Linked DNA regions of Danio rerio. The main gene of each other region encodes a partner of the protein of the gene in region 2 in a complex. Links are inferred from orthologs where the notes say so. Each region holds a gene or a part of one and is shown on either strand. Other genes may lie near its edges.

Region 1 (4,871 bases), on a different chromosome or scaffold from region 2:
TCATTACACACTTCATTTTAGCGGCTGAATGAGTGCATCATCCGGGAAATTAAAGTGCTCTTATTATTTTTAGAGTTTTCAGTGTGAACACACTACTTACACTATTAATACTACAAAATGGCGTAGAATAGTGCATAAGTATGCGATTTGGGACGCAGCTATAGAATTCGAAAATCAGTAGGCAAGAATTACCCGGATGACTTACTACTTCTGGCTAGATTCTGAAGTGCGCATCCCATGCACGCTGCGCTATCCCATAATGCCCGTGAGAGAATTCATGAATGGAAGGGAGGCGATGCAACTGATGCAGGTAGATCACGTGACCACGACAAAATGTCGGATGTAGTACGTCCGAATTCCATCCATACTTTTCACATTCATACAGTATAGAACGTACTTTTCTAACGGCTGAGTAGTACGTTTAAATTCAACTGCAGTACCTACTGAGTAGTAGGCGGTTTCGGATGCAGCCTGTGTCTGTGTGTTTATGTGTTGTTTTTAAATGCTTATCATCAGGGTTGGGCAAAAACATTTAAATATATTTTAAAATAAAATACCAAAAACCATAAGTTTAAGTATATCAAAATAAACTACAAAATACCTCAGCCACAAAATGTATCAAAATAAAATACAGTATTTTTGTATTTTAAAAAATTCTACAAAATATTTTTAAATAGGAACATGATATTTGTTGGCAAACCTTTCATTAATAAGCCCATTTGATCAGTCCCTTCACCATTAAACTGATTCTTTAATACTCAGTGTAAAAACATGATTTCTGAAACTTTCAAAAAATTATCTTTTTTTGCAAATAAACTTTTCATATATTATATCATGTTCCTTCTGTATAACCTGTCAGAAGTTTTTAATTATTAAATGTGCGTTTCTCATGTTGTCACTTTTACATGTTTAGGCATACAGTACATCTTTCTTTTTCATTAACAGTACAGTGCATCTGCAGATCAACTACTGGCATTTGAAACAGCATCGGAATCGCCACTCATTTATTCATTCATTGTCTTTTCGGCTTAGTCCCTTTTGTAGGACTTATTGTAGGACTTATTGTTATGTTGTTTGTTTCAGTGACAAACATTTAGCATCAAAGTATTTTACAATATTTTAAACTACAAAAATAAAAGACATTAATGTATTTTTAATACAAAACATTAAGCCATTTCCATCAACCCTATCATAAATACTGCCCATCCCTGCTTATATTCATTCTAGGTAATTTTCAGAATGCTTGCTTTTAAAAACAGGAGAATGCATATTAAAGCATAATGTTATAAGAAGGCTCTATATGTTTAGGAACATTTATCTTTAAATTATAGAGAATCCAAAATCCATTTTTATTTTCAGAAATGTTGAAAACTTGTAAGCACTGACATTCATAGTATTTGTTTGTCATACTATTAAAGTCAATGGTTACAGGTTCCCAACGTTCTTCAAAATATGGAAAGATCAAGATGGTTTTAAACAAGTAAATTGATTAAATTGGCTGAATTTACATTTTTTGGATGCACATAAATACATAATCGTGAAAAACATTATAATCATTAGCATGTCGTGGAGGTTTTGTTTTGTTTTACAATATAGCGTTTTGTAAGTGGACTGCTTTTTTGTTTTATAAATGGGGATAACGCAGAGGATTAACCTGAGCCCTGGACTGTGCTTTATTATTATTTGTCTCCATCTGCTGACGAAAGAGGGAATTGCCAGAAAAGAGGAGCCATGTACGTGTATCAGCAAGCTCTGTGTCAGACATGTCATGTACCTCTTCGGGCATAAAGTTGACTGTTTTAAGAAAATATTTCACATCCATTGAACATGCGCCTTTTAATCTCTTTTGTGTGATGAACGATTGCGGAATAATTTACTGAGATGAGTACAAATGACGCAAAAACAGAACAAAACGCCAACAATTTCGCGACCAATGGGATTTTTACGTCTTCATTCTTCTAGCCAATAGAAGCACAGAGTGAAAGACCCGGCAGCTTTTTGATGACGTATGTGATCTAAAGCACAAAGCCGCGTGAAAATGGTAAGTGTTGTTATTTAGCAATATCATACAGTAATTTACGTTTAAGGAATTAATAAACGTGCTACGACCATTTGTTTAACATATTTAGGTTTTTTTGACCACTGTGTTCGCGAGAAAGACAAACAATGCTTCATGCTAACAGCTAACGCTAGCTTTCTTCATAGCCAAATAAAACAACATTCTCAAGCAAGGATTATCCCCTTAATTAAATGCCCAACAGAAACAACTCTGGCTGACTCCTATTATATTAAAGTCTTGGTATTTCATTTGCCTGCGTAATTTAGAAAGCAGTGTTATTTGCTGTTGACATTTCTCATTTGGTCTGTTGATAAAACTTGATTCAATCGTTTTATCGATGTCTTATTTGCTGTCCGCCTCATATTTTGAGAGTAATTCCTTCAAATGTTTATTCTCAGCTCTTCTACTCGTTTTTCAAGTCTTTGGTTGGCAAAGATGTTGTGGTGGAGCTCAAGAATGACTTGAGGTGAGTGCTCACCTTTCTTTTACAAATATTATATATATAATTAGAAATTGAATATACATATTTTATAATGTATGTGCCAGCTCGTAAAACTATGAACACATCTATTTTGCAGCATATGTGGAACATTACATTCAGTTGATCAGGTACGGAAACTGACTCCACACGTTTATTAATATAAACAAATATTGGGCGATTTAGGATTAAGTTAATCTTGTCATTTGTTCTTCCCTCACAGTACCTGAACATCAAACTGACAGATATCAGTGTTACTGATCCAGAGAAATATCCGCACATGGTGAGAAATGGATGAAATGAAAATTACACTCATAATCTTGGGTCTAATATCTTTATCAATGTCATGGAATTTTAAAAGGTTCATTTCAGACATTGAAATTTAGGAAATGTTGATATATTTTTGTCAGATTCATGGAATAACAGGGATTTTTTGTTTGTTACTTTACATTTTAGCTTTTCTTTATTAAAATATATTTGATATTTACAGCCATGCAAACCGCAAGTATTTTTTTTTTATATTAAGTAAATTATCATTTGTTGTTCTCATAGTGGCTATTAAATGAATGTAATAAAATGGCTAAAACCATTTCAATATATTTTTAATTTAATATTACAATTTTTTATAAGCACTACAGAAGCCTGTTATGTTCATGTCATGGTTGATATATTGGTTTATGGTAAAAGTACAGAAATTAATACTATGAAAAATCTGAAAATAGCAAGTGTAGGACCAATTTATTTTAAAGAATATTCAAAATAAAATTTTTTTTTGAATACTAAGTCATCTTTATTTTTTGAAATATGCAATAAAATATTTTCAGATTCTCATATAACATTGCTTTGGTTTTATTGTCAAAAAAACTAACTAGAAAGCAAGTGTAGAATTGCAACAGGATTTTTTTTTGTAAACCAACAATGCTGTGTAGTGAAAACCATTATTTAAAACGGTGAAAATACGGTCAACCATTTGATAGAGCAGGCAGCTAAAGGGTTAAAGAGGGAACCCTGATAATTGAATTGATTCCTAAATTAATGTAGATCAGGTTATTAAGTCTGTGATTTATGAATTGTCATAGTGATGTAGGTGCTCAACAAGGAGAACTTTGGTGTATATAGATGACTCTAATATTGTTTTGTTGTAGTTGTCTGTGAAGAACTGCTTCATTCGTGGATCAGTGGTGCGATACGTTCAGCTTCCTGCAGATGAAGTGGACACACAGCTACTACAGGATGCTGCACGCAAAGAAGCTACACAACAGAAACAATAATGTTTATATTTGAGAATAGTTTGGTTTTGTTCCAATGTTCAGAAGCATCATCTGTGGAGTTTTGTTGATTTAAATGTTTTTCTTACCTAAAACATGTAAAGTTTTTTTTTTCTCTTTCATTTTTACGTCATGTGAAGCCTGTTATTGAGGGTGTGATTTACTGTTTTTTTTTTTTTACTTCACAAGTTAGTGGTTGTGTGCTTTTAATGAGTGTTGGTAAAGTTCTGTACTGCATACCAATGACTTTTAGTTAGGTTCACACATTGATGCAAAAATAAAGTATTTTCCTCTGTTTTCACACTTTCCTTTTGGTGGAAAAAATCGTCCATTGTTGGAGTTCAGCTGACAGCATTTTACAAATTATGTTCGTGGAATGCTGGTGTTTTGGTTTAGGCAGGCATGTCCAAACTCGGTCCTGTAGGGCTGGTGTCCTGCAAAGTTTAGTTCCATACCCAATCAGACACACCAGGGCTAGCTAATCAAGCTCTTACTAAAAACATAATTGCAGATGTGTTGAGGCAGGTTGGAGCTAAAATCTCCAGGACACCGGCCCTCCAAGATTGAGTTTGGACACCCTTGGGTTAAGGTGAATGGATAGTTTAGCAGAGGTGTCAAACTCAATTCCTGGAGTGCTGCAGCCCTGCACAGTTCAGTTCCAAGTGTATTGGAGCAGGGTTGGGTTTCAAAGAAGCCCGAAAGATTTAATTACTTTAATCTGGTTGTGCTTACTTAAACTGAACTAAACAGTGCAGAGCTGCAGCCCCCCCAGGAACTGAATTTGACACCTGTAGTTTACAGCCTAGTCCCAAACAAAAAAGTAAGTTGTTTAGAGTAAAAGAAACTCGTAGTTACTGTTCCTAAAATATACCAGTGCCTTTGTTTTGTGTTTTTTAGGCACTTTTATGCGCTAATAAAGTAATCATGGCTTTATCAAAGCGAATGTAGACCACACTACAAAAATATGTTTAGGTGTTTTAGTTCAAAATAAATTGTCATCTACATTTCTATAAGTCAAATGACAAATATGTTAAGTTAAACTGATTAACTTAAAAAAGGAAAGTAA
Region 2 (3,455 bases):
GAAAAAGAAGAGAGAGAACCAAGCAACACCCAGCAACTCTCTTTCTCTCTCTCTCTCTCTCTCTCTCTCTCTCTCTCTCTCATTCACACACACACAAACACACACCGAGAGAGAGCACCAAGTGACACACGCAGATTGCATATTCGGAAATGTATTCCTGCACAACAAGAAATCGGGTTGTCCCCCGCGGTACAGCAGCAGGAATGCAGACCTCTAGTTCATATTTACCACGTCTTCCTTCTTGTTCGGTCGAATCCGGAAATACTGCCAAACTGCAGGTCACTTAGTGCGCGACTCGCCACCTCAACTCTCCCTCCCTCTCTCTCCTCCACACTGTCCCGTGATGACAATCACGCATACTTATTTGTAGGCAATAAATAAAGGATATTTAATATTGAATACTTGTCTACTATTTAAATTCAATGTTTTTTATGACGGTATAACGGTACTGAAACTGACACCGTGGCTATTTTTAGATCCTGCGGTATACTATATTACTGTATTACCGCCCAAGTCTAATATAAACATAATTATTAACTATTACTTAATAGTATATAAACTATTACTATATAACATATATAATATATAAACATTATATTAACTGTTACTATATAATAAATAAACTATTACTATATAACATATATAATATATAAACATAATATTAACTATTATTATATAGTATATAAACTATTACTATATAACATATATAATATATAAACATAATATTAACTATTATTATATAGTATATAAACTATTACTATATAACATATATAATATATAAACATAAAATTAACTGTTACTATATAATATATAAACTATTACTATATAAGATAATATATAAACATAATATGAACTATAATTATATAGTATATAAACTATTACTATATAACATATATAATATATAAACATTATATTAACTGTTACTATATAATAAATAAACTATTACTATATAACATATGTAATATATAAACATAATATTAACTGTTACTATATAATATATAAACTATTACTATATAACATATAATATATAAATATAATATTAACTGTTACTATATAATAAATAAACTATTACTATATAACATATAATATATAAACATAATAACTGTTACTATATAATATATAAACTATTACTATATAACATATAATATATAAACATAATAACTGTTACTATATAATATATAAACTATTAATATATAAGATAATATATAAACATAATATTAACTATTATTATATAGTATATAAACTATTACTATATAACATATATAATATATAAACATTATATTAACTGTTACTATATAATAAATAAACTATTACTATATAACATATATAATATATAAACATAATATTAACTGTTACTATATAATATATAAACTATTACTATATAACATATAATATATAAATATAATATTAACTGTTACTATATAATAAATAAACTATTACTATATAACATATAATATATAAACATAATAATAACTGTTACTATATAATATATAAACTATTACTATATAACATAATATATAAACATAATAATAACTGTTACTATATAATATATAAACTATTAATATATAAGATAATATATAAACATAATATTAACTATTACTATATAGTATAAACTATTACTATATAACATATAATATATAAACATAATATTAACTGTTACTATATAATATATAAACTATTACTATATAGTATATAAACTATATATAAACAATTTTTTTCATAACACAGTATGCTCTCTCTATTGTAATACATTTGACATGTTCTTAATAAGCATCATAAGCATTTACATAAGATGTCCAGTTTAAGGTATAAGGGGATATATTTAAATCCCACCCAATACTTCACCATTTCTAACACTTCACAAAAGTCTTAAAGAAATCTTATTAACAATTTTGTTTCAGTCTCATCCTCCAGCGCATATCTCATGTTGATGGTGTTATTTCAGGTCCGCACCACTCATTATTTTAGTTGGAGTGAGTCATCTACATGGCTGCATGTCAAGTTGTTGTCTGTTTTCTCTCGTGTTCTCAGGCATTGTAATATGGTTCTGGAGAATGTGAAAGAAATGTGGACAGAGGTGCCCAAGAGCGGCAAAGGCAAGAAGAAGTCAAAGCCAGTGAACAAAGATCGCTACATCTCCAAGATGTTCCTGAGAGGCGACTCGGTCATCGTGGTGCTGAGGAACCCACTCATCACAGGGAAATAAAGCTGACGTGTAACACGACTGTTCAAGTACAGGCTGTCTCCTGGACACACACTCACTCACACAACTGTGTTAAAAGTGCTAATTAGGCTTTTCAGCTAATTAATTATTACTTCATACACAGAATGCCTTGAGCTGAAACAATAATGTTTAGCTGGAAAACGTTTAACATCATCTGGAGAGATTGTCTGGTCAACAAAATGATAAAGATGTTGGAGTTAATTTTGTTGTTGTTATTGTTTTGTCATTTGTGATTTGTTTTCTAAATAAATTTTTGGATATTCAAGTCTTGATCTATTCAATCTATTGTATGACTCTAGGATGTAGGCATGGAACGATAACCGTTTTCAAGGTATACTGCTGTTCGGAAAAGTCAAGGTATTAAAACCGTCATCATTATCTTTTCATTTGTGTCTAGGGTGTATGTAGGATAATATAGTAAATAGTTTATTTCCTTTTTTTTTTTTTTTTTTTTTTTTTTAGGACAACATTATCTCCAGCTGGAAAAATATTCAAAGATGTCATTTTAAATTGTAAAGAAATCTGTGCTTTTGAAACTAATGAAAACAGCAGAAGTCAATGATTCATTTTCATTATTTATTTAGCCTGACATTTTTACTGTATGAATCCCTTTACATGATCTTCCAGCATTATACAAATTATTTATAGAAGTAACCGACCCATCAGAAAAAAAACTTTAATATTTAGCCCTGTATAAGTCTAAAATTTCACTCATGGTCTTAAGAGTCTTAAAGTCTTGCACTTGATTTGAAGAAACCTGCAGAAACCCTGATGTTGTGCTTCCCAATCTGGCCATTATTGCACATCAGCAACAGCAACAATCCTAATCTCAATACCAAACTTTAACCTTTTTATTTAAAAGGGTCATTTTTAACTCTGTTTTATCATAATGATTTAATTATTTTCCTTACAAAAACATTTGTTTAAAAGTGCTCCATATATTTACTGCTGACACCAACTTGGACAGATTGTGTATAGATTTAGTTTATTAACATTTGATCAGTTGTTTAAAGAGAGTGTATTTTGCTTGCTTGTTTTTATACAATGTTTAAAATATTTTGCCAAGAAATGTCTAAAATATTTAAAAATAAAATGTTATTATAAAATTATTATTGTATTATTAAATGTGTTGAGATGCAGAAACCTTTAAGCACCATCAGAAATTTTCCTCTTAAATGTGCATTTTTCCTTAGCCTTCTGTGTTTGAAAAAATTTGAAATTACTGAACCTA
Region 3 (4,106 bases), on a different chromosome or scaffold from region 2:
AAATAATTTTCAACATGCTTGAACCATCTAAACAATGGAGTTTAGTTTGGTTTTTCAACAGTATTTTGTTACAAAGAAAACAGAAGTGATAGCTTTGGCTATTTATTTATTTTATATATGGCTATTTATATTGTTAATAATTTGCATAGTTAATATTGTTCTTTGATGTTTAGTTTATAAAGATTTTTCAAATGTTATTTGATTAAAAATTGTTTTAAAAATCTTTTTTTTTTCCATCCCACACGAAAAAAATAAAATAAAAAATCGTGATACGAATCGAATCGTGGGTCAAAAATCGTGATACGAACCGAATCGTGGGTTTGGTGTATCGTTACAGCCCTAATATATATATATATATATATATATATATATATATATATATATATACACACACACACACACACACACACACACACACACACACACACACAGTTGAAGTCAGAATTATTAGCCCCCTTTAGAATTTTTTTTTTTTTTTTTGCTTTTTTAAATATTTCCCAAATGATTTTTAATAGAGCAAGGACATTTTCACAGTATGTCTGATAATATTTTTTCCTCTGGAGAAAGTCTGATTTGTTTTATTTTGGCAAGAATTAAAGCAGTTTTAAATTTTTTAAAAACCATTTTTGGGACAAAATTATTAGCCCCTTTAAGCTATTTTTTCCCTAACAGTCTACAGAACAAACCATTGATATAGAACAACTTGCCTAATTGCCCTAACCTGTCGAGTTAACCTAATTGACCTAGTTAAGCCTTTAAATGTCACTTTAAGCTGTATAGAAGTGTCTTGAAAAATATCTAGTAAAATATCATTTACTGTCATCATGGCAAAGATAAAATAAACCAGTTATTAGAAATAAGTTATTATAACTATTATGCTTAGAAATGTGCTGAAACAATCTTCCCTCCATTAAACAGAAATTGGGGAAAAAAATAAACAGGGGCGCTAATAAATCAGGGGGGCTAAAAATTCTGACTTCAACTGTATATATAAATTTATGTTTTATTTATTTAGTTATTTTGTTAAATATGTAACTGTTATTGATGTACATCAACTGAGAGATTGAACTTGTTGTTAAAAATTAATAATAAAAATATTCTGTTGATCAAAATAAAAATTGGTCTTATGTTATCCAATACTTAGAAAAATATATATTCCCAGAGAAACATCATTTTGACTCAGAGTTTATCTAGTCTGGAGGTGCATAACTGTGGGTGGGATGTTTAACTTTCACACCCACCCAATCGTAATGCAGAATCTTGTGAATTTTTAAATATCACTTGAAGAGAATGTTAAGTTTTCCAACAAGCACTACACAGTCCTGCCTTTACCCCTGATCTTCCAAGAAATCCTCTGAAATCATAATGTAAATGTTTCGTCATGCTTAATGTGCATCTTGCCTTCAGGAGTCCTGGCCTGCCTTGACGGCTACATGAATATTGCGGTGGAACAGACAGAGGAATATGTCAACGGCCAACTGAAGAACAAGTATGGAGATGCATTCCTCAGAGGAAATAATGGTAGGTCTTTATTTATATTTTTTCTGTTATTTATAGCTCCTTAAAAGGATAGTTCACATAAAAATCAAATTTGTCATCATTTACTTGACTTACTTTTTTCAAAGCTGTTTGAGTTTTTGTTCTTTCAAAGGTGCAGATGCTTTGAAGAATGTTGGTAACTAGTTGCCATGAGCTATCTTTCCATTCAAATATGTAAATTAGATGCACAGCTGGATTATTGCATAAAATATTGGCGATCAAATAACATCAGAATGGGTGACATGGTGTCTCAGTGGTTAGCACTGTTGCCTCACAGCAAGAAGGTCGCTTGTGCATTTTGGTTGAGTTGCTGGTTTCTCCCTTAATGCTGTCCCACTGTCATTTATAGTATCAGATGATTTGTTAAAACAGAATCGCATGACTTTTTCATGTGCATGCTGCAATTTATTCAGTACATCTGTTTCCATCATAGTTAATGTACGTTTTTTTTTTTCGTATTGCATATGCACATTTTCTAAATTGATGCACATTTCCATTAAGCATTTTTGTGCAATATGTGGATAAAAATGGGTGGACGGTAACATGGCTATTGAAATCCCAAGTACAATTTTTTTTTTACATTGGAATTTTTGGCTACTGTTTACCAACATTCTTTAGAATATTTTCATCTGTTTTCTGAAGAAAAACGAAACTAATGAGGGTTTGGAATCGTTTGAGAGAAACTAAGTGATAAAAAAGGGTTAAGGTATTCAGCCTAAAATGGAAAACATTTCATGCATTTTCCTGTTTGTTTAGTCAACACAAAAATCTGAAAGTAGTTTACAAAGTGAAAGTTTTTGAAAACCCTGGCGTTTTCCTGTTTGTGTAAATGCTCAAAACAACTGGGAGTTTTTAAAAATGATGACATCATGCTTTTTCATAGTAGGAAGTGCTGGGCGATATGATAATTATTTTCAATATTGAACAATAACAAAATATATTTTGATATAAGTTGTTAATACTTCCAGATTTAAAAGAGTATCCCCCATGTTAACATCCAAAAATGTGAATTAACTTTATGCGCAAAACTGGAATATTGCATAAGATGTGCAAATGCAGCAGACCTTTTCATCCAACGAGTCAAAGTGAACAAAATCATCATTTCATGAATAACAGGTGCCAAATATATACAGTAAAAATTAAATTTGCTGCGGTAGGAGAAGCTGCAAAAATCTTTTCTTTATTTCATAAATGGACTTGCTCCTCAGTGGCATTTAAAGGCCTCAAAAGCGGAGCACAGATGCTCTTTACGGCTCTGGAGATCATTAATAATATAAGATAACACTAATATTAAAACTGTTAAGGCATTTTAGAATGCCAAAAACAACATTTCAGATGTATTACAATACCATTCACACATGTTCATTATCACATTATCTCTTATAACAAAATCACATTACTTTTTTTTTTTTTGTGCCTACTGGAACTTGTTTGGTACAAGTGTTTCCATTGTAGTTTATGTGTATCTTTTCGTATGGAATAAAGTTTGTCCTACTCAGTTATGCGCATCCATTTTTTTAATGCGCATTTTCAAAATTTATGAACATCTTGGCATTTCCATATATTTTTTTAATGCGCATATTCAAAATTGTAATAACGCACTTCTAGATTCCCTTTGTTGCACATTTCTGGTCTGTGATTGGCTTTAAGATCAACATAGAATAAAAAAGTCCCGAGCTTATCATTGTTATTGAACCAAAATCTATTGCGATTTGATATAACATTGTTTATCAGCCCAGCCCTAATAGTAGGTGTTTTGGGTAAAGCTAAGATGGTTTTTTTTTTTTGGTTACATCATTGTCATAAATGTAGCCTAAATGTTTATCTTTGGGTGTACAATCCCTTTAAACAGAAAACAGTGATGCAGTTTCAGAAGCTCAGAGTATGTTAGTTTCAGACTTACAAAGATAATGCTTATAACAAAGTAAATTATTGTTTTCTTTGCCCTCTAGTGTTATACATCAGCACCCAGAAGAGGAAGATGTGAAGCTGCTTTACTTATTTCTTCATGCGTTGTTAGAGAAGTCAATTGTTTACTGTTAATATTCATAAATCCTTTGTTAGCTGATGATGATGTCTAAGTTTGTTAAATGTTTTGTAACACACATTTGCTGTCCTGCAGAACGATGCAGTAAATCATTTGTTTTCCAACAATAAATTGTGTTCATGTTTCCCTGATTTATCAGTTCTCGAGGTGCCTATGAATATTTAAACAGTGATAATTCAGTCATAAGAAATTGCTGATTAGCACTTTCAAGTCTGGAGGTTGTTGAAAGCTTCTTTATTTCCACATTTCCTATCCAATGCGTAATCTACCAGCTGTTGCACTTTATTTGATCTAACAGACTTTCATTGCATGTTGTCATTTTTTTTTTTTTTTAAACAAATCTATCTGATTGTTCTGTTGTCTTATTTTTTTTCAAGGTTTCAGGAAAGTTAAATGTTGAATTCCCTGACCATTTATTAACTAAAAAGCAGAATTTCTATGACCTACAATAGATAAATAGGCAGCAGTTGTGCAAGTTTTTAGAAGAGGTTGCAATTTTTTTTTTTTTTTTCTCAGATTT
Region 4 (4,106 bases), on a different chromosome or scaffold from region 2:
CTACAAAATAGTAGCATAGGATCCCTAAAATAACTTCCTAATGATCTAAAAACTAGGACAATTCATCAACATTAATTAGGTGGATGCAAAAAGCTATCACAAAGGTTTAAAGTCTATATCTCCACAGTCAGAAATATAGTAAGAAAATGGAAGGCCCCAGGAACAGTTCTTGTGAAGGAAAGATGTGTTTGACCAAGAAAAAATATCTGAAAGGCAAAGGGCGAAGAATGGTTAGAATGGTCACAAACAAACCACAGACCACCTGCAAAGAGCTCCAGGAACAACTTGCTGCTAATAATGTCATTGTAGATAGTTCCACAGTTCAGCGCACTCTTCACAAAGAACAGCTTAATGGAAGGTGATGCAGAGGAAGACTTCTCTGCATTCTGCCAACTAGAAGATTCGTTTGAGGTATGCAAAGGCTCATCTGGACAAGCCTGAATCATTTTAGAAAAATATTCTGTAGACAGATGCCACAACCATAGGCGCTTTGCATGGTGGAAAAAGAACAAAGCATTTCAGGAGAAGAACCTGCTCCCTGCTGTAAAATATGGTGGAGGGTCCATCATTCTGTGGGGAAGTGTGGCAAGCACATGTACTAGAAACCTTGTCAGAATTACAGCAAAGGTTGCATGGATTTTACCCAGTATCAGCAGATTCTGAAGACCAATGTTTAGGAATCAGTCAAGAGGCTGAAGTTACGGCAGGGTTGTATGTTTCAGCAGGACAATGACCCAAAACACAGTTGCAGATCTACCATGGAATTCATGCTCCGACATGATACAATGTTCTGATATGGCCATCCCAGTCCCCAGACTTAAACATTATTGAGAATCTATGGGTTGGTTTGGAAAGGGCAGTTTATGGTTTGCACCCATCAAACCTGACTGAACTGGTGAAATTTTGCAGGGAAGAATGGACCAAAATGCCTTCAGCAAGAGTTCAGGGACTTATCCTTGGCAATAAGAATCAACAACAGGCTTTTATTTCAGCATAAGTTGGCTGTACAAAACATTGAAGTTATTATTCTGTTAGGGTGCCCAATTTTTTGCACCTGTCTGTTTTTGTTATTACATCTGCTGATTAAATAATTAATATGTTATGTTCTGTCAGAAGTGAATTGTTGCTTTTTCCCTAGGGTATAAAATATATCCAAATGAAATTGCTGATTTGGACAGCCAGCAGGCTATGGCTTTTGTTATGAAAATTATCAGGAGTGGAGAAATTTGTACATAAAATTGTAAATTAAAGTCTTGTTACCACTTTACAGACAGTTGTGCTAGCTTTGAAATTTAATAATAGAAAAAAGGCCTGTTTGAGTGTCTTGAGTACATTGGGTACACAAGTGTCTTGGTACATTTGGTTCAGTTAAAACAAACTGGTGTAGTGCTTCTGTTTGTGCAGTTTATTTGAAGGAACTTGAGCTCTGCCAATCATAAGTTGGTGTGCTGCCATGTCTGCCATGTTCCTGGTAGCCTGCATAAACAAAATGCATACATATGAAGAGTTCAGATGCGAACACCTCTAAGTTCTGTCTGAAATATCCATTGAAAATGAGCATTTTTCTCAGACTCTTATGTTTATGTTGAGTTATTTTATTTTAAGGACCTTTAAAAGAGTGTATTCTTTGCCATAAACTTAAATTTACTGAACCTACACACAGGACCCTGATAAAATTGATTATTTTTGAAGGAAATTTCAAATGGCTTTTAGAGGTTTTTGCATCTGAACTCTTCTAATATGGTTTAAATGTATGGTTTCATTTTGAGATGCACAGATTTTTTGCTGCTGAATATTGCAAAAAAAGAGAAAACTGGCCAAATATATGAACCACAAAAAGGTTATTTTGTGCTGCTGCACTGGCCAGTATTGCTGGTTTCACTTTCACTTAAAGCAGGGATGTCCAAACTCGGTCCTGGAGCGCCGGTGTCCTGCTGAGTTTAGCTCCAACTTGCTACAAACCACCTGCCAGGATGTTTCTAGTGTATCTAGTAAGAGCTTGATTAGCTGGTTCATGTGTGTTTAAATAAGGTTGGAGCTAAACTCTTCAGAACACCTGCCCTCCAGGACCGAGTTTGGACACCCCTGACTTAAAGGGATAGTTCAGCCAAAAATCTAAATTTGCTCACTCTCTTTACACTTCCTCAAGTTGTTCTAAACTTTTTAGGGTTGTTAGAAATATCGTTTGATACCAATCTGTATTTTAAATATGATCACTGTTGAGCACGTTCTTAAACATTGCTGATTAGCCACTGTGTTCATGCTCAACAGAAATGACTGTGGTTGGCTGTGGAGCATTTGAAAGCTGTGTCAATCAGCAGATCTGTCTATGTGCTGACATATGAGCAATCTGATGGATCACTAGTGCCTGTGACTCTGTGCTTGCACTTGGTGAACAGCGGTGAAGAGTGATGAACTGATGACCTGTACAGCCAATTATAGCCATTTCTGTTGAGCATCTGAGCACAACGACTAATCAGTGGTTAAGCATGTAAATGTTAACAGGAGATGGAGGTTTTTTAAGTTTCAGGAAAAAACCTTTAGACTTTGACAGCCCTAAAACCTTTCGAAAATAATTTCATGCTTCTGTTGAAGATAAAATTATATATTGTTGAAGAAAGCTGAAAACCATTGACTTCCATAGTAGGAAAAAACAAAATTATGGAAGTCAGTGGTTACAGGCTTCCAACTTTTTTTAATATTCATGTTCAACAGAAAAAAAATAAACTCATAATTGTTTGAAACCAGGAAAGGATTAGTAAATGATGAAAGAAATTACAGATGCATTTGAAAGCTTCACTCTGAGGTTAAACTTTGATCCAATGAATAAACAATGATTCCACAGTGCTATGAACTATATCGTCTGGTCAACTAAAAACCCAACTGGACTGTGACTTGACTAGCATTGCGTACTCTCACATTGTGATATCGATGATAAAATGATACATTGTACGGCCCTGATGAGTGTTTTATATGTGTGCATCAGCTTCACTGTGTGTGGGCATGCGTGTATAACCCGTGTTGTGTTTTGTCTGTTCAGAGTGAGGATGTTTGGCTAGAAGCTGCGCGTCTGCAGCCTGGAGACACAGCGAAAGCAGTAGTTGCCCAAGCAGTGCGACACCTCCCTCAGTCTGTGCGCATCTACATCAGAGCCGCTGAGCTGGAGACGGACATCAGGGCCAAGAAAAGAGTGCTCAGGAAAGGTCAGTCTCTCTCCGTCTCCCTCTCTTTCTTTACTTTCTCAGTCTCTCCCCTCATCAGTTTTCTCTTTCCACTGTCACTGGCTCTTTTTTCAGGTGCATACCTGTATGACAGAGACAGATGACTTGTTAGTTATGTAGGATCTTTTATCAGTCTCAGCATGTTAAACTGTCCTGAATCTCCGCCTTTATAATAAAGGATTTCTAAATAGTCTGGCACTGCTACTTCATCAATGTCTCTCCGATGATTAACTGGTTAACTCTATGTAATAATTTCAAGTAATTAGTACGGTTTTAAAAAATCTTGTTGCTCTGCCATTTTAGTAATGGCTGATTATTCATGAGATGATTTGCATAAATTGTTGGCATGGCAGTGTGGGGTTATATTTCACACACTGTGTGACCATACTGATTTTTGATTACTGATTTTTTGAAGAAGAAGCTGCATGTGTAGCGAGCATTGACTGATATCAATAGCTCTTTTAAGGGAGAAAGAGAGCCTCTGAAAGCATTGAATGTCTTTCTCTGTCCATGTTTTTGGCTCAGAATGTCATGCGAATTCTTTAGAATTTTCCAGGGGCCTCATGTACAAAGACTTGCATTCAATTCTCACAGAACTTGCATGTAAATGTGAAAAAATACCCCACCAAAATCACAAGAACAACCCTGTAGTCTCCCTCAAATAAATACATTTCAACTTGTTAATGAGATCACTTTAGGAAAAGCAAGAAATTAGTCAAATCAATCGACAAGAAAATAAACTCTATGGAGTGCTATTATTGGAGATTGGAAACATTGCCCTTTGGAAAAATAAAAGAAAAAAACTTGAGTGGGAGAGTTTGGCTGATGCTATTGTTACCCCGCCAGACCTACGCCACCCAACCCGCTCCGAACTGGTATCTTACC
Region 5 (4,815 bases), on a different chromosome or scaffold from region 2:
TAAAATAACGTGTTCTAGTTGTATTATAACGTTTTTATAATATTATTTAAAATCAAAATATCTATTAAATCTTTTTTTTGAAGCACAATTTAATTCACAATTTATATGCTATGTTCATAACATCTTTATTATTCTGTTATTTATTTTTTACAGACACACACACACACACAAATATTAATATAATAACCAAATAAAAGAATTTAGGTTGATGTCAGGCTTTTCAGCAATGTAATGTAATGTGTATTTGGGAAACTTTTCAACTACGGGCACTTTTAGTCTTGTGAAGTTGAGTAAAAATTAACAAATCCTGGCCTCAAGTTTAAACAATTTGTCTAGTTTTAAGATGTGTAAGAGCACAAACTTAGATAAGAAGAGAGATTGTTTATATTTAACATTTTTTCCATCATAAAATGAGCAAACGTCATTTCCATCACATCTCAATATACAGCTTTTATTTCAAAATGAAATCAATTATGGCAGTAAAAAGTTGTCTGAGATCCTTTTTATATCCAGTTTAACCAATCTTTCCATAATGTGTACAATAATTATACATTTGTCAATTAAATAAATGAGTCTCTTAGGACCAAATGCTGAATTGTACACCTGTCACACTCTAAAATTTAATTTGATTAAAAGCTTATTACAAAATAAATGAATTTGTATTAAATAGAGCATGAGCTCATAAATTGTGAATTCATTTTTAAAGTGTGATAAGAACTTAAATTTTTTTTTTAAATATGTGTGGTGATGGAAATGACAGCTGTGGTGGAAATGACCAAATCAGTGTTAATGTAGAGAAACGTTAGACTAATATTAGAAAAATAATTGAACTCTTAAACTCACACTTTTTAAACTCAGTTTACAAAATTACTAAGTATAACCGCACAGTTTTGCATGTGTAGGGCTGTGATTGATCTAAAAACTGATTTGTCTAGCAGATGAACAGTAACAGTGCACTGTGAATGTCAATATTATTCAAATATTATACAAATTCGTTTTAAAATAAAAGTATTACACATCTACAGTTGGACAATGAGACTGAAAGGCCTGGTTTTAGAGCACAATAATTCATTAGAGCGATGGAGACTATTGGAGCGATATGGCGGAGAGGGTAATGCTGTCACCTCGGCTGGGTCAGTTGGCATTTCTGTGTGGAGTTTACATGTTCTCCCCATGTAGGCGTGGGTTTCCTCTGGGTGCTCCGGTAACGGTTTCCCCCAAATACATGCGGCACAGTTGAATTGGGTAGCCTAACTTGGCTGTAGTGTATGTGTGTGAATGAAAGTGTGTGGGTGTTCCCTGATGTTGGGTTGCGGCTGCGTAAAACATATGCTGGATAAGTTGGTGGTGTGGTGCCACTGTGGTGCCCTCAGATGAATAAAGGGACTATGTCAAAGGAAAAATGAATGAATGAAAGAATGAAGTTTACAAACTTCATTTATTAATTCATTTGCCTTCGACACCATAGTGGAATGAACCTATATACCTTAAACAAATCCATGCATCCAAATTATTGTTAATCATTCAAAATTTAACTTCTTTCATGTCCAAAATGTGTACAAGGAGCAAAAAAAAAACAAATAGGTCATGGACTTTTTTATTTCGAATCTTCCTGAACACATTTCCCAGAAGCCTTTGCTGTGAAACATGTGACGTATTTACTGTGCGACTGCAGATCGTTGTTTGGCGTTTGTAAGTCGTTGCATGTTGGCTTCTGTTCTTTCCATAAAGTGAGAAGAAAACAGGCGGGTTGAGTTGTAAGTTTGGTCTGATTTTACCTTGAACACTTTCTTAAAGATTGCGATTATCAAACAGCAGTGTTTATTGTCTAGTTGTGATTTATTTTCTCACTGTCTTCGTAGATGTCTTTGGCAGACGAGCTGCTTGCGGATTTGGAGGAGGCAGGAGAAGAGGACGGGCTGTATCCCGGCGGAGAAGAGGGAGAGAGTGATGGAGAGCCCGGAGAAAGACAAGTTGATGGAGGACTGGAGGACATCCCGGAGGAGATGGAGGTGGATTACAGCAGCACGGAGAGCGTCACGTCCATAGCTAAACTACGACACAGCAAACCGGTCAGTTTCTGACATCAATAACTCACACACAGCTTCATTTCAGATCTATTTTTAGAACCTAACTTATTGCAGACTTGTTGATATGTTGCAGTTCGCTGAAATCATGGATAAAATCAGTCACTATGTTGGAAATCAACGCAAGAATTCAGAAGGTAACGTTGAGGTTGTTTTTATTCACACATTCAGACTTTGGTGTTCAATAAAATACTAAAGCAGATTTTAAAAGCCTAATACAGACTATTTATAATGACGTAATAATTTAAACACAAAGTAACTACTTGTGACAAGGTCCCTGCATTGTTTGTCACGCTACTTTGGATATTATTTCTGAAATCCAATTCAGGCTAAATATTCAGACTTCAAAACAACATTAGTTCTACTGTTTGACTGCACAATGTTGTATTTTCATAGTCATGGGCTCCTGATATGATTTCTCTATTTAGAATTTGTAAAATACTTCCCTGAAATTGCATTAAGAGGGTGAGAGTCAGAATGTGCAAATATAAAACTAACTTTACATCAATGAAGATAAGTAGTAACTTTTTTTTTTTTTTTTTGTAAAGCGTGCTGGTGAACATTTATTTTAACTTAAAAAATTAAGTCAAAGAATCAGGATCCATATCATTGTGACATAGATGAAAATGATCTAAAATATTGGTCCAGAATTGAGATAATCTAGGTCATCCACAGAACATACAACTCAGATCTGCTGGCTTCAAACCACATCTGGAGCAAGATGAATCTGACCCTGAATACATTTTTGCCAGCTTACTCCTTGATAGGTGAAGACTATGAAGCCCCTTAAACTGTAGAAGACCATGTCTAATACATATAGAGAATACTAATTTTAATTAACGTTGTTTAAAAGGGATGGTGAAATTAGGTATTAAAATCTGCTCACCCTCAATGGTTCAATGAGGTTTTTGTTTTGTTTTATTTTGTTGAATACAAAAAATGTAAATATTTTGATGATAAATTTGAAAACTTTAACCATTAACATCTTTATTAAAAGCAAACACTATGGAAGTCAAGGGTTACAGGTTTTATGTTCAACCAAAGAAATGAATTTAAACAGTTTTAGGCACAAGTGAAACTTTTTTTAACATGGTATTTCCTCTTTTTTCAGTGTCTGGACCGGTTGAAGCAGACCCAGAGTACAGGCTCATTGTTGCCGCCAACAATCTGACGGTGGAAATAGACAACGAGCTTAGTGAGTTCACTGTTTGTTTTATACCTGTGTATTAAATTCACATTATATGAATTGTAACACTAAAGCTATAAAGGCAAATTTCAGATATATTTGCTTAATTATTCATTTTTCCAAATGAGCTTTTACCATGATTCTGACTGTTTTTGCATTTTAATATTCTGAATTTGAAATTCTGTGAAATTCTGCATACATTATTTTTTTACATTGTATTATTATTATTATTATTATAGTTTTTTTCATAAAATGTTATAATGCTTTTGAAGTGGCTCTTGGAGCATAGCAGATGAAGTTAATGTCCTCGTATAGTGAAATGGCAGACAGTGCTTGAGTTTGTCTGTAGTAAAGAAGGCACACCACTGATTTACACACAAAATGCAGACTTTATTACAGTTTTTTACAATTGCTATGACACTTTTATCAATACATTTAACAAGTTTCCTAAACTCTTAACACAGTTAGCACAACATCCGTCTTCGTGGGCTATACAATTAACACATTTATTGTTGTTTTGACACAAAATGCATCCAGTTAACACAAATTTAAAATGCTTTAACTTCTTTTACACACAAGCACAACCAAGAAAACAATGTAATTTTACAGTCAAATTTACAAATGCTTTAACACAGTATGTCAGAACAGATAACACCATGTTCTAAACAGAAATTATATAGGATAAAGTCAAAGTGAACAGCTGTTCTAATTGTGAATTGAAACACAAGTTTATTCCCTTTATTTTATTCAATTGCCAATGAGAAACAGCATATTGCGGTTATATAAATAAATAAATATATATATATATATATATATATATATATATATATATATATATTTATTTATTTTTTAAATATATATATATATAACCGCAATATGAGTCTCTCTCATATATATATATATATGGAGTTCATTAGTACATACAGTACATATACAGTACAGCATTTGCATACACTGTGTCTAATTACTTTCAGAGAGTCATGAAGTTAGAGGCCAATCAAGTACCACATGAAATTTTCAATGTTGACAAGGCTGGGGATGTCGCCGTAGGAAAAACATAATAGGCCAAAGGGCCACAGTTACCGTGCCGGGCCACAGAAGATATCAAGTATAATGTGGATGAGAACTTGTGGCAAAAGACCGGGAAGTATAGAAGATTACTTTGTTATTTTATTATAGTTGTGGTGCTTTTCCTGTTTGCAGTGATGTCCTTCTGCAAAAAAAGTCTGTACTGCAGAAATTCTGTGTCTGTATTTTTTTTACATAAACTGTAAATTTTATAAAGCAATTTTTTTCTTCCTTTCGTATAGAATTTTTGCCGTAAACGAAAGAAAATGCATGCATTTACTTAACCCAACGAAACAAAACTGTAACGAGACTTCAAATATAAGGGCAGAGCTGACACATAAACTAATGGAGTTTCTGTAATGTCAGCTGATGATAGTGTTTTTATTGTCAGTGTGTTCTGATTGACTGAATGTTTATGTTGGAAGAGAACATGTGTTAGTGTTTTGAACAATAATTTCATTTTGAAACATGATT
Region 6 (4,698 bases), on a different chromosome or scaffold from region 2:
CTTCCTATTAAAAACATGAATATAAAATAAAGATTTTTGAGGAGTGTATGGTACAATACTTATTACAAATTACCATGTATTTTGTATTATGTTGCTACTTTTGTTAAAATTATTCACATTTAACAGATTATATAAGTGGTATGTAAACATTCGAGCACAACTGTAGACGTAATATACAGTTGAAGTCAGTTGAATTATTAGCCCCCTTGTTTATTTTTTCCCTAATTTCTGTTTAACGGAGAGCAGATTTCTTTTCAACACATTTCTAAACATAATAGTTTTTGCTAACTCATTTCTAATAACTGATTTATTTAATTAATCATGATGACAGGTAAATAATATTTTATTAGATAATTTTCAAGATACTACTATACAGCTTAAAGTGACATTTAAAGACTTAATTAGGTTAATTAGGTTAACTAGGCAGGTCAGGGTAATTAGGCAAGTTATTGTGTAATGATCTGTAGACAAAAATATAGCTTCATGGGGCTAATAATATTGACCTTAAATTTTATTTTATTTTTTTATTTATTTTATAAAAACTGCTTTTATTCTAGCCAAAATAAAACAAATAAGACTTTTTCCAGAAGACAAAATATTATCAGACATAATGTGAAAATTTCCTTGCTCTGTTAAACATCATTTGGGAAATATTTAAAAAAGAAAAAAAATCAAAGGGGGCTAATAATTCTGACTTCAATTGTACGTTATATGTTTTTCGTCTGTGTGCACGCACAGACTTATTTTGGTAAACAAATAAATAACAACTCTTTACGGTTATTTCATACACAATAACAAGCAATACATAATTAACAAATTAATAAAAATGGACATTCACTTACATTAAAGATAGGTCGGACTATAAAAAAATCTAACAGTGAGCGAATAAAGTTAAATAACATAACGTTACATGTAACTTTACTTTGAGCCTCGTCACTAACCTTTATAAAAACAAATAAACATTCACACACATTGAAGAAAATTCGGTTTAACAATAAACAGATCTAACAGTAAACAAATAAATAACAAACGTTTAAGGTATTTAATTGAGGTAAGTTAACGTTATTAATGTAAAATGTTGAGTTTTGAACTCAGTCACTAGCCAATAATAGGCAAAAATATTTTAAAACAACAAGCATTCACTTACATTGACAAAAAGTCGATACACAAGCAACATAAAACAATTAAACAGGTATTTTTGGTGTATAACAATAAAAAACTGAGTTTTAACAGCCTCAAACTGCTGACCTTTTATTTATTGATAACGTTAACCGCTAGCAAGCGTCCTGTCACCATGGTGAGATGCTCCGTGACGTAGATGCAGGCAAAGGTCACAGCGCGTCACGGCAGGCGCGACACACACGGCACTGAAACGTCGCTAACCTTACAGGTTTTAGCGGGCTTTCGAAATCTAAAACACAAGAACATACGTCTAATTTATTTTTAATAAAGTGTCAGGAGCGTAATAATCATGGCGTCCACCGCGGCGGGCAAACAGAGAATCCCGAAAGTGGCGAAGGTAAAACCTATATGATGTTTTTGTGAGTTAGCATTAGCATGTAAACAACGTGAAGTCGTGCTGACGTTACTTAATAATTAACTACTGTATATAAATGTGGTTAGTGGAGTTAAGCTTATTTTTTTATAATGTATTTGTGTTTGTGTTCAGGTGAAGAATAAACCCCTGTAAGTTAGCATTAGCATGTAAACAACATGTAGTTCTGCTAACGTTACTTTATAATTAGTTAACTGATGTATAATGTGTATACATGTAATCAGTTGAGTTAAAGGTTGTCTTGCTTTGTAATGGTTTTGTATTAATGCTCATGTGAAGAATAAAGCTGTGAGTTAGCATTAGCTTGTAAACAACGTGAACTTGTGCCACTCTGAAAATAACAACTGTATAATGTATAGAACTATAACCAGATGGGTTAAAGATTGTCTTGTTTTGTAATGGTTTTGTGTTTGTGTTCAGGTGAAGAATAAAGCCCCTGCAGAGGTGCAGATCACCGCCGAGCAGCTGCTCAGAGAGGCCAAAGAGAGAGAGCTCGAGCTGCTGCCACCGCCACCCAAACAGAAGATCACCGATAAAGAAGAGCTCAATGACTACAAACTGAAAAAGAGAAAGGTATGAAATGTTGTATCACCATGTAGTATACCATGGTGTCACTATATGCATATGTCATAAAGTAGTACTAAATTACTGTGCATGTACTGAAAGCTTGGTTCTGTCATGGCATATGCCTCAAAAATATACAGTAGTGTCACAATTGCTTATAGAATGTGCGCAGTGCTATCATGATGTTCAGAAAATATGGTATTGATATGGTGTGTAGATTATAAAAGATGATATCGCTATGGTTTAAATGTATTATTTTATTATGGTAAACCTCTAGAAAACATGGGCATTATCACAGTGCATATTCAGAAAACTCAGAGGATATGCAATGTCTTGTTGGGTTTATAGTTGACCAGAAGACAGTTTATATATGTATATAAAGTGGAAGTCTGCCTGTGTTTTATGGACTGCCGCTGTATGAACATTTCAAGAACGTATAAAGCATCCAGGTGTAACGCTTCTCTTCCTGAAGACGCAAATCACTCAGGCGGACACAGAGAACTGCGTTCTGCGTTGTTTATTCTGTAACAGAAATATACATCCTCTGGCAACAGTATGCATTTAAACATGCATCGCCTTTCTGCATTCAGCAACCATTTTCTGCTGTGTTGCCACAAAGTCATTTTAACAAAACATTATTTATTTACAAAAGGTTAACATACCTGTAACAGAAATATACATCATCTGGCAACAGTATGCATTTAAACATGCATCTAAAAAAACCAAACAAATAGTAAGAAATCACCCTTGCACATATTAATGTCATCATTCCAGCTACACCTAGCATGAGCAAATTAAACCACACAAAGTTTGTCACACACGGCAATCACTCGACAGATTTGATCTAAAACATCACTTAATGTTCATATTGGGCTTGTATGTGTTATTAATATGTGTTAAAATACAAAATTTGTCACATTTAGCTGGAGCACATTTTACCTACCGCCTTTCTGCATTCTGCAACCATTTTCTGCTGTAGGCGGGGTTTTGCAGGTGAAAGGTGAAAGAAACAATTACACACTGTTGCCACAAGAGGTCTCTCAACAGCCACAAAATAAACAAAATAACCCATTTTGGTGAAAGACAATTAAACATTATTTTAACCCTGTTACACAGGCACAAGAAATTAGACCATTTGTACCTTTAATAAAGATACATTTTTAAAATAATTTTTACAATAAAGAAGATGCAGTGTTTTATTTACATTTGATTTTTTTGCAATTCCTGTACCTGTTTGCTGTTTGACAAATTCATAAAGTAACAATACTTGTAATTTTTTGTTATTTTTTTATGCATGATTCAATCCTTTATTGCAATCAGTCTGAATTAATAAACACTTCCCAAATAGAGTTAAGGCATCTGATGGACCTATATTCATTTTGCATTATTTATCACAGAAAAACAAAATATGTCAATGTTTGATTTATTTTTCAATATCTTGCACCCCTAATGTTCATGCTTTGAATATGCTATGTCAACAAGGTACATCTGGTCACAACATGATGTTACCAGTGTAAAGGTTTTGTCAATTTGATGTTTCGCATTTGATGTTCGTTTCTATAAAACTCCTAGTATACATGTACTAAACTCAATAACACATGGTATTATTGTGATACATACTTTAAAAGCTTCATATACATAGTGCATCTGCAGAAAATATGTCATCAGTATATTATGTGTCAAAAAGAATAAAATTATATTAATATCTTAAAGTTAAAATGCCACTGTCAGTGGTATATAATTAGGGGTGCACCGATATGGGTTTTTTAGTGTATATCGATAACTAATAACTCTTCAGACTTGGAGGCTGATAGTCGATATATATAGGTCGATAATTATAAATGTTTAAAAATGTTATATTTTTAAACTTAATAAAAGATTGAACTGCTCTTATGAACTGAAAAGTCTACTCAAACCAAAAAAGCTATAATTTCAAAATTGCAAGGTGGTTATATAGACCTATATTCACGATTTCACATAAATCAGCATGCAAGAAAATTAATTATTTCCTTTTCTTCATAGCAAATTAACATGCAACTTCACTGTTGCATAAAAATAATAGGTTAAATAACAAAACAGGATTTAATCAACAAGCAAGTTAAATATATTTAAATAAGATGAAAATGAAAGAGCTAACAACTGAAACCAGCTCAATTGTTCTTGAATAAAACGTGTTACATTGATGTACATATGTACAAATATGTAATGTTCGAAAAAAAAAAAAACTTTTCTAAGGGTGTTTTGACAGTTCAGAGTTACCGTACAAGCAAAAAGTTGAGTACAGGTTGTATTACTTTAGAAAATGCGGCATAGATTCATCCTATTTAGCGTTTTAGATTCTTTTGAACACGTATAGCTGTAGTGCTTGTCAATCAGACAATGCTTCTGTGTTCGTTCTTGCTGTCAATTGCGGGAAAAATGATCATGAAAAGTTTATGATAAACCGCTGTGAGTTGAACTAAACGTAATTTATCGGCCTAATTTAGACATCGGATCGATAACGATAATCTTAAAAATAGCATTTATCGGCCGATAACCATATGGCTGCCGATATATTATGTGTCCCTTTACATATTATT
Region 7 (4,641 bases), on a different chromosome or scaffold from region 2:
ATCTGAATTATAATGTACTAAAAAGAGATTCACTAAATCCTCTCTGTAGAAACATTTTACTCTACACTCTCAGAAATAAAGGTACGTGAGCTGTCACTGGGGTGGTCCCTTTTCAAAAGGTACAAATATGTACCTAAAAGGTCCATACTAATACCTCAAGGGTACGTATTATTACCTTAAAAGTACAAAAGTGTTCCTCTTAATATTTTTAGGTACTAATATATACTCTTCAGGTACCAATATGGACCCTTTAAGTACAAATGTGTACCTTTTGAAAAGTTACCACCCCAATGACAGCTCGCGTACCTTTATTTCTGAGAGTGTGTTATGTCAAAAAAAAAAAAAAAAAAGAATTTTGCACTTAAATTCATCCAAAAAAAAAATGTTTTTGTTCTAGAAGTGTGTGCAAATTTGTGCATAATAAAAATGAGTTTTTTTTTTTAACCTTGGTTTTAAATTATAAAAGCAAACAAACCAATTATTAAATCATTTATCTTGTGAAAATTAAAATATTTTTATTTACATTTCATTAACAATAGTTTTATTTTATATTATTTCATTTTATTGCTGTATCCAATGCCCAAAATAATGGTTTGATATTTTCTGTTTTTGTTTCTATTTGTTAAGTATTAATATTTACTACTTATACTATTACTACAACTAATAATAATAATAATGATAATAATGGGGCGGCGCAGTGGCGCAGTAGGTAGTGCTGTCACGACACAGCAAGAAGGTCGCTAGGTTGTTGGTTCGATCCTCTGCTCAGTTGGCATTTCTGTGTGGAGTTTGCATGTTCTCCCTGCTTTTGGGTGCTCCGGTTTCCCCCACAGTCCAAAAACATGAGCTACAAACGTGTGTGTGTGTGTGTGTGTGTGTGTGTGTTTTTGTTTGCGTGTGTGTTTGCGTGTGTGTTTGCGTGTGTGTTTGCGTGTGTGTGTGTGTGTGTGTGTGTGTGTGTGTGTGTGTGTGTGTGTGTGTGTGTGTGTGTGAGAGTGTGGATGTTTCCCAGTGATGGGTTGCGGCTGGAAGGGCATCCACGACGTAAAAACTGAATAAGGATAAGTTGGCGGTTCATTCCTCTGTGGTGACCCCGAATTAATAAAGAGACTAAGCCGACAAGAAATGAATGAATAATAATAATGTTGAAAATTATTTAATTAATTTTATTGTACGGTTGTGAAAGTGCAAATCCTATATCAATGGTTAATTAAAACAATTCTGACATACAGTATAGCTGTGATTCCTGAAAATAATATTTGCATAAATATACAGTACACCTCTGATTCCTGGAAAAATATAGTAGTCTTTGTTTTTCCCATTAATCATTATATTTACATTTCTTACCTATGTTCTAAACAGAATCTTAAATTAGCTTCAAGCCATTAATGTAATGTAAAAATAATATCAAGGCATCTGTTTCCTGACGCATAGTTGTTTTTCCATCAGTGATGATAATCATCCAACATATGTTCAGTATTGCAGTTTGACTGCTAAAGAAAAACGCGTTTTTCCACACTTTTGGAACCTCGCGAGGCCCCGTAGCATCACTTCCGGAATACGGCGGGAAAGATGGCGGCTGAGTCAAACGAATCTCAGACGGCAATGAATATGGGGCCTACATCGAGAGATGAGGTAAGAACTTCGCTGTTAGTTCCAGATTATGAAGTCGATATGTTTGTTTGACCGCGCTGAGCAGTTTTAAAGCGGCTCGTGGATGTGTTCCGGTGGGATTTTACGGGTTGTGGGCCTGCACGCGTGGAGCAGATGGCGCTGCTTTGGTTTGTGTGAGATCATTTGTGTACATTATGAACATAAACACTCTGATTTAAACCCATGATAAACTATTATGTTTGTCATTTAGTCCACTGAGTGTCTGTAAAATTCAAGTTACATTTGAAAGACAAGTTACGATAGGGATTAGGCCGAAAACGATAACAATATAAACCAATTACCGTTCAACAAGTAACTTAATGTTAATCAAAATCTAGTTTAACGTTACATATTTATTGCGTAGGCCGACATTTCCATATTTTTATATCACGTTAGTGAAATCTATTTTAAAAGCAATGAGATAAAGAGAAATCTATAGACAACATCGTATCGTTTATGATAGGAAACATTTGTGCATATTGATTTAATACATACGTTAGTGAATTAAATATATTGAAAGTCCGTGTTAATAATATATGACCTTGGCTGAATTTTTCGTTTAAGATTAGCAAACGTAATGCCTAAACTCCAAATATTGGTACAAGTTTGTTATTAAACTGTTTCACTGCTTAGATTGTATTGTACGTTCATTAAATTGTTATAATTTTGCTGTGCCCTTTAAAACCTTATGCTAAGTTAGGAGAGTATGTTATGGTCTTTTTCCCCAAACATGGTTTTTATGTACCTGTGCTATTTTTGGGGCTTTAACTATTTTGAAAACAGTAACATTATGAAATACTATTGCAATTACAAAAACAGTTTTTGTACATAAATATATTTTTAACATGTACTGTTAATCTCTTTGAACATTTATTTATTTATTTGCGGCTGAACTATCATAGTATGACACATCGTTTGGGAAAAGAACGATGTAGTGATGAATGTTTACCAAAATCCGTAGTTTCTCTGTTGCAGATCCTTCATTTGAACCTTGTTAGGTATAATGTAAAACACCCATAAAGCCTGGTTTATACTTCTGCGTGAAGTGATCGTCGTGACCCACGGTGCATGCAACGCATGTAGCTGTGCATTTATACTTTTGCGCACTGTTTCTGTTGTTCTGCAATAACACTTCCGAAACGCTAGTTGGCACTCAGGTGTTAATGTTCCTTTGTGTCGAGGTTCTTCACTAGTGTTTTGTTTTTTCTGAACGCTTCCTAAATGTACAAGTGGCTCAAACTCACTCATTTTGAGGCAGGAACCGACGGACGTGCAACAACTTTAACCATGAGGTAAATACAAAACAAAACTTTCCATCCGGAGCTCCTTCACGAGTCTCTACACTTGTAAACAATAGCTCCGCTTGGTCCCATCCTGAATCTCCAGCGCTACCAAGCCGAGCAATCAGATCTTGTGCTACGCGTCACTGCGACATGTAATTACATTTTTTTGAGAGGTGCATGTCAGCGACGGCCATTGCGTAGGGCTATGCGTCAACGCGTAGGCTGCACCGTAGCATACGTGCGCTTGACACAGAAGTATAAATCAGCCTTTAATGATTCTCTAAACGGGGTTAACAACTTTCTTAGACACGAACAAGTAATTGTGGCCCTGTTCAGGCAGGTATTCAGGTTCATTTTTCATCAATCTGATGCAACTTTTATTATTTACAAGACCTAAAAATGCAATTAAAAGTTTCAAATCAGTTAAACTCAATTTATAAAAAGACTAGCCTATTTTATGCATTAAATAATGAAATGTATAACTAATTTGCTTTATTTCCGATTAGACCATGCACTTAAGTCTGTTTTACAGTTTTAATATGTGCATGCGCTTGTTTAAAATAGCATTCGTTTAACAAAAATTTTAGCACATCGAAAGTAATTAAATTACCTGTCTTTTGATTAAAACCTTTATGCAAAAGGATCAGAAATGCACCCAAAAAAGGCAATCATCCGACACTTGACATGCATAGCTCTCATGCCACATTTTCAGGATAAATTCGCATCTAAGTGCTGCTTTGAATATAATAAAATGATTTAAAAGCACATTAAAGACTTCACTCATAAAATAAAACATTCTGTGACATAATTTTGATGATTGTTTGACCCATTAGTTGCACAAAGTAATTGCTTTCACCAGCGTCAAACATTCACCAGCGTGTAGTTCCCTTAAACTGTGAAAAATACATATAAATACATTTAGATCATTTACTACAGTCATTACTATTGGAATGTAAAGAGACTTTCAATCAGCACAGCAAAAAATGTTTCTAAAGACAATCACCTACTGCACCTTTAAGAACAACGACAGCAGGAATAAGATGTTTTTCTTTAAGATGCAGCACATTGAAAAGCGTTTAGATGACACAATTTTAAAGACGTAACCATTCCTATTGTGGGTAGCTTTCTCTTTATTCCCAGTATCCCCGACACGGCTAGTGAAAGTCTTCAGGATCCTTAGAAACATTAAGGCTTGTGTATTATCTGTAGCTAAACTCTGCAGGACGGTGTGACCCTCCAGGAGCAGAATTGGACATCGCTGGTTTAAATCATGATCTGGCTGTTAGTTATTTGCTGTAATTTGCAATGATGCCACTCTTTTCATTGGCACTGAAAGAAACTCCAGTCCAGCTTTTTTAGGTTTATGTAGAAGTGCTGATATTGCTCTCGCTCCCCTTACTCATATATTATCCTTTTTTTGTTGTCGGCCATGCAGTGTGTTTCTGAATGATTTATTCCTTTAGTGCTCAGCATTCTTAGTGTGTGTGTGTCTAAGTCTGAAATACCAGCCTACCTGCTGAATGGCAGATCCATGTTTGAAAGAGTAGTTTGCCATAAGTTTGCAGAAATCACTCGAGTCTCCCACTGCGTACAGCCTGGGATTAGGCTCAGTAGGGACATATAGGATGGCGAGTGTGTGTATGTGTCTTATACAGAGGAAAGCAAGCTCATGGCTATTCTTTGAGAGTCCCGTATCCGTCTGTGG

What was found.
Region 1: snrpd2 (region 2) and smx5 share a complex: the UniProt entries of both Homo sapiens proteins name them as parts of the U4/U6-U5 tri-snRNP complex. The link is inferred for Danio rerio from reciprocal best matches to the Homo sapiens genes SNRPD2 and LSM2.
Region 3: snrpd2 (region 2) and lsm6 share a complex: the UniProt entries of both Homo sapiens proteins name them as parts of the U4/U6-U5 tri-snRNP complex. The link is inferred for Danio rerio from reciprocal best matches to the Homo sapiens genes SNRPD2 and LSM6.
Region 4: snrpd2 (region 2) and prpf6 share a complex: the UniProt entries of both Homo sapiens proteins name them as parts of the U4/U6-U5 tri-snRNP complex. The link is inferred for Danio rerio from reciprocal best matches to the Homo sapiens genes SNRPD2 and PRPF6.
Region 5: snrpd2 (region 2) and prpf31 share a complex: the UniProt entries of both Homo sapiens proteins name them as parts of the U4/U6-U5 tri-snRNP complex. The link is inferred for Danio rerio from reciprocal best matches to the Homo sapiens genes SNRPD2 and PRPF31.
Region 6: snrpd2 (region 2) and crnkl1 share a complex: the UniProt entries of both Homo sapiens proteins name them as parts of the minor spliceosome. The link is inferred for Danio rerio from reciprocal best matches to the Homo sapiens genes SNRPD2 and CRNKL1.
Region 7: snrpd2 (region 2) and cwc22 share a complex: the UniProt entries of both Homo sapiens proteins name them as parts of the minor spliceosome. The link is inferred for Danio rerio from reciprocal best matches to the Homo sapiens genes SNRPD2 and CWC22.

What each region holds. Positions count from the first base shown.
Region 1 is NC_133181.1:30,701,948-30,706,818, forward strand, and holds smx5 (smx5), read left to right. Parts: upstream 1-1,962; 5' UTR 1,963-2,038; coding exon 2,039-2,041; intron 2,042-2,457; coding exon 2,458-2,525; intron 2,526-2,637; coding exon 2,638-2,668; intron 2,669-2,760; coding exon 2,761-2,820; intron 2,821-3,682; coding exon 3,683-3,808; 3' UTR 3,809-4,743; downstream 4,744-4,871. UniProt on the Homo sapiens protein: Plays a role in pre-mRNA splicing as component of the U4/U6-U5 tri-snRNP complex that is involved in spliceosome assembly, and as component of the precatalytic spliceosome (spliceosome B complex).
Region 2 is NC_133193.1:43,800,891-43,804,345, reverse strand, and holds the end of snrpd2 (small nuclear ribonucleoprotein Sm D2), read left to right. Parts: intron 1-2,031; coding exon 2,032-2,206; 3' UTR 2,207-2,489; downstream 2,490-3,455. UniProt on the Homo sapiens protein: Plays a role in pre-mRNA splicing as a core component of the spliceosomal U1, U2, U4 and U5 small nuclear ribonucleoproteins (snRNPs), the building blocks of the spliceosome.
Region 3 is NC_133176.1:39,352,096-39,356,201, forward strand, and holds the end of lsm6 (U6 snRNA-associated Sm-like protein LSm6), read left to right. Parts: intron 1-1,407; coding exon 1,408-1,521; intron 1,522-3,491; coding exon 3,492-3,526; 3' UTR 3,527-3,721; downstream 3,722-4,106. UniProt on the Homo sapiens protein: Plays a role in pre-mRNA splicing as component of the U4/U6-U5 tri-snRNP complex that is involved in spliceosome assembly, and as component of the precatalytic spliceosome (spliceosome B complex).
Region 4 is NC_133198.1:7,068,766-7,072,871, reverse strand, and holds part of prpf6 (pre-mRNA-processing factor 6), read left to right. Parts: exon of another isoform or gene 1-1,908; intron 1,909-2,108; exon of another isoform or gene 2,109-3,040; coding exon 3,041-3,203; exon of another isoform or gene 3,204-3,304; intron 3,305-4,106. UniProt on the Homo sapiens protein: Involved in pre-mRNA splicing as component of the U4/U6-U5 tri-snRNP complex, one of the building blocks of the spliceosome.
Region 5 is NC_133191.1:35,273,609-35,278,423, forward strand, and holds the start of prpf31 (U4/U6 small nuclear ribonucleoprotein Prp31), read left to right. Parts: upstream 1-1,652; 5' UTR 1,653-1,757; intron 1,758-1,862; coding exon 1,863-2,072; intron 2,073-2,163; coding exon 2,164-2,224; intron 2,225-3,198; coding exon 3,199-3,282; intron 3,283-4,815. UniProt on the Homo sapiens protein: Involved in pre-mRNA splicing as component of the spliceosome. Required for the assembly of the U4/U5/U6 tri-snRNP complex, one of the building blocks of the spliceosome.
Region 6 is NC_133195.1:52,274,955-52,279,652, forward strand, and holds the start of crnkl1 (crooked neck-like protein 1), read left to right. Parts: upstream 1-1,420; 5' UTR 1,421-1,471; coding exon 1,472-1,519; exon of another isoform or gene 1,520-1,975; coding exon 1,976-2,128; exon of another isoform or gene 2,129-2,832; intron 2,833-3,062; exon of another isoform or gene 3,063-3,094; intron 3,095-4,698. UniProt on the Homo sapiens protein: Involved in pre-mRNA splicing process. As a component of the minor spliceosome, involved in the splicing of U12-type introns in pre-mRNAs.
Region 7 is NC_133184.1:45,378,254-45,382,894, reverse strand, and holds the start of cwc22 (pre-mRNA-splicing factor CWC22 homolog), read left to right. Parts: upstream 1-1,541; 5' UTR 1,542-1,572; coding exon 1,573-1,635; exon of another isoform or gene 1,636-1,781; intron 1,782-4,641. UniProt on the Homo sapiens protein: Required for pre-mRNA splicing as component of the spliceosome. As a component of the minor spliceosome, involved in the splicing of U12-type introns in pre-mRNAs. Promotes exon-junction complex (EJC) assembly.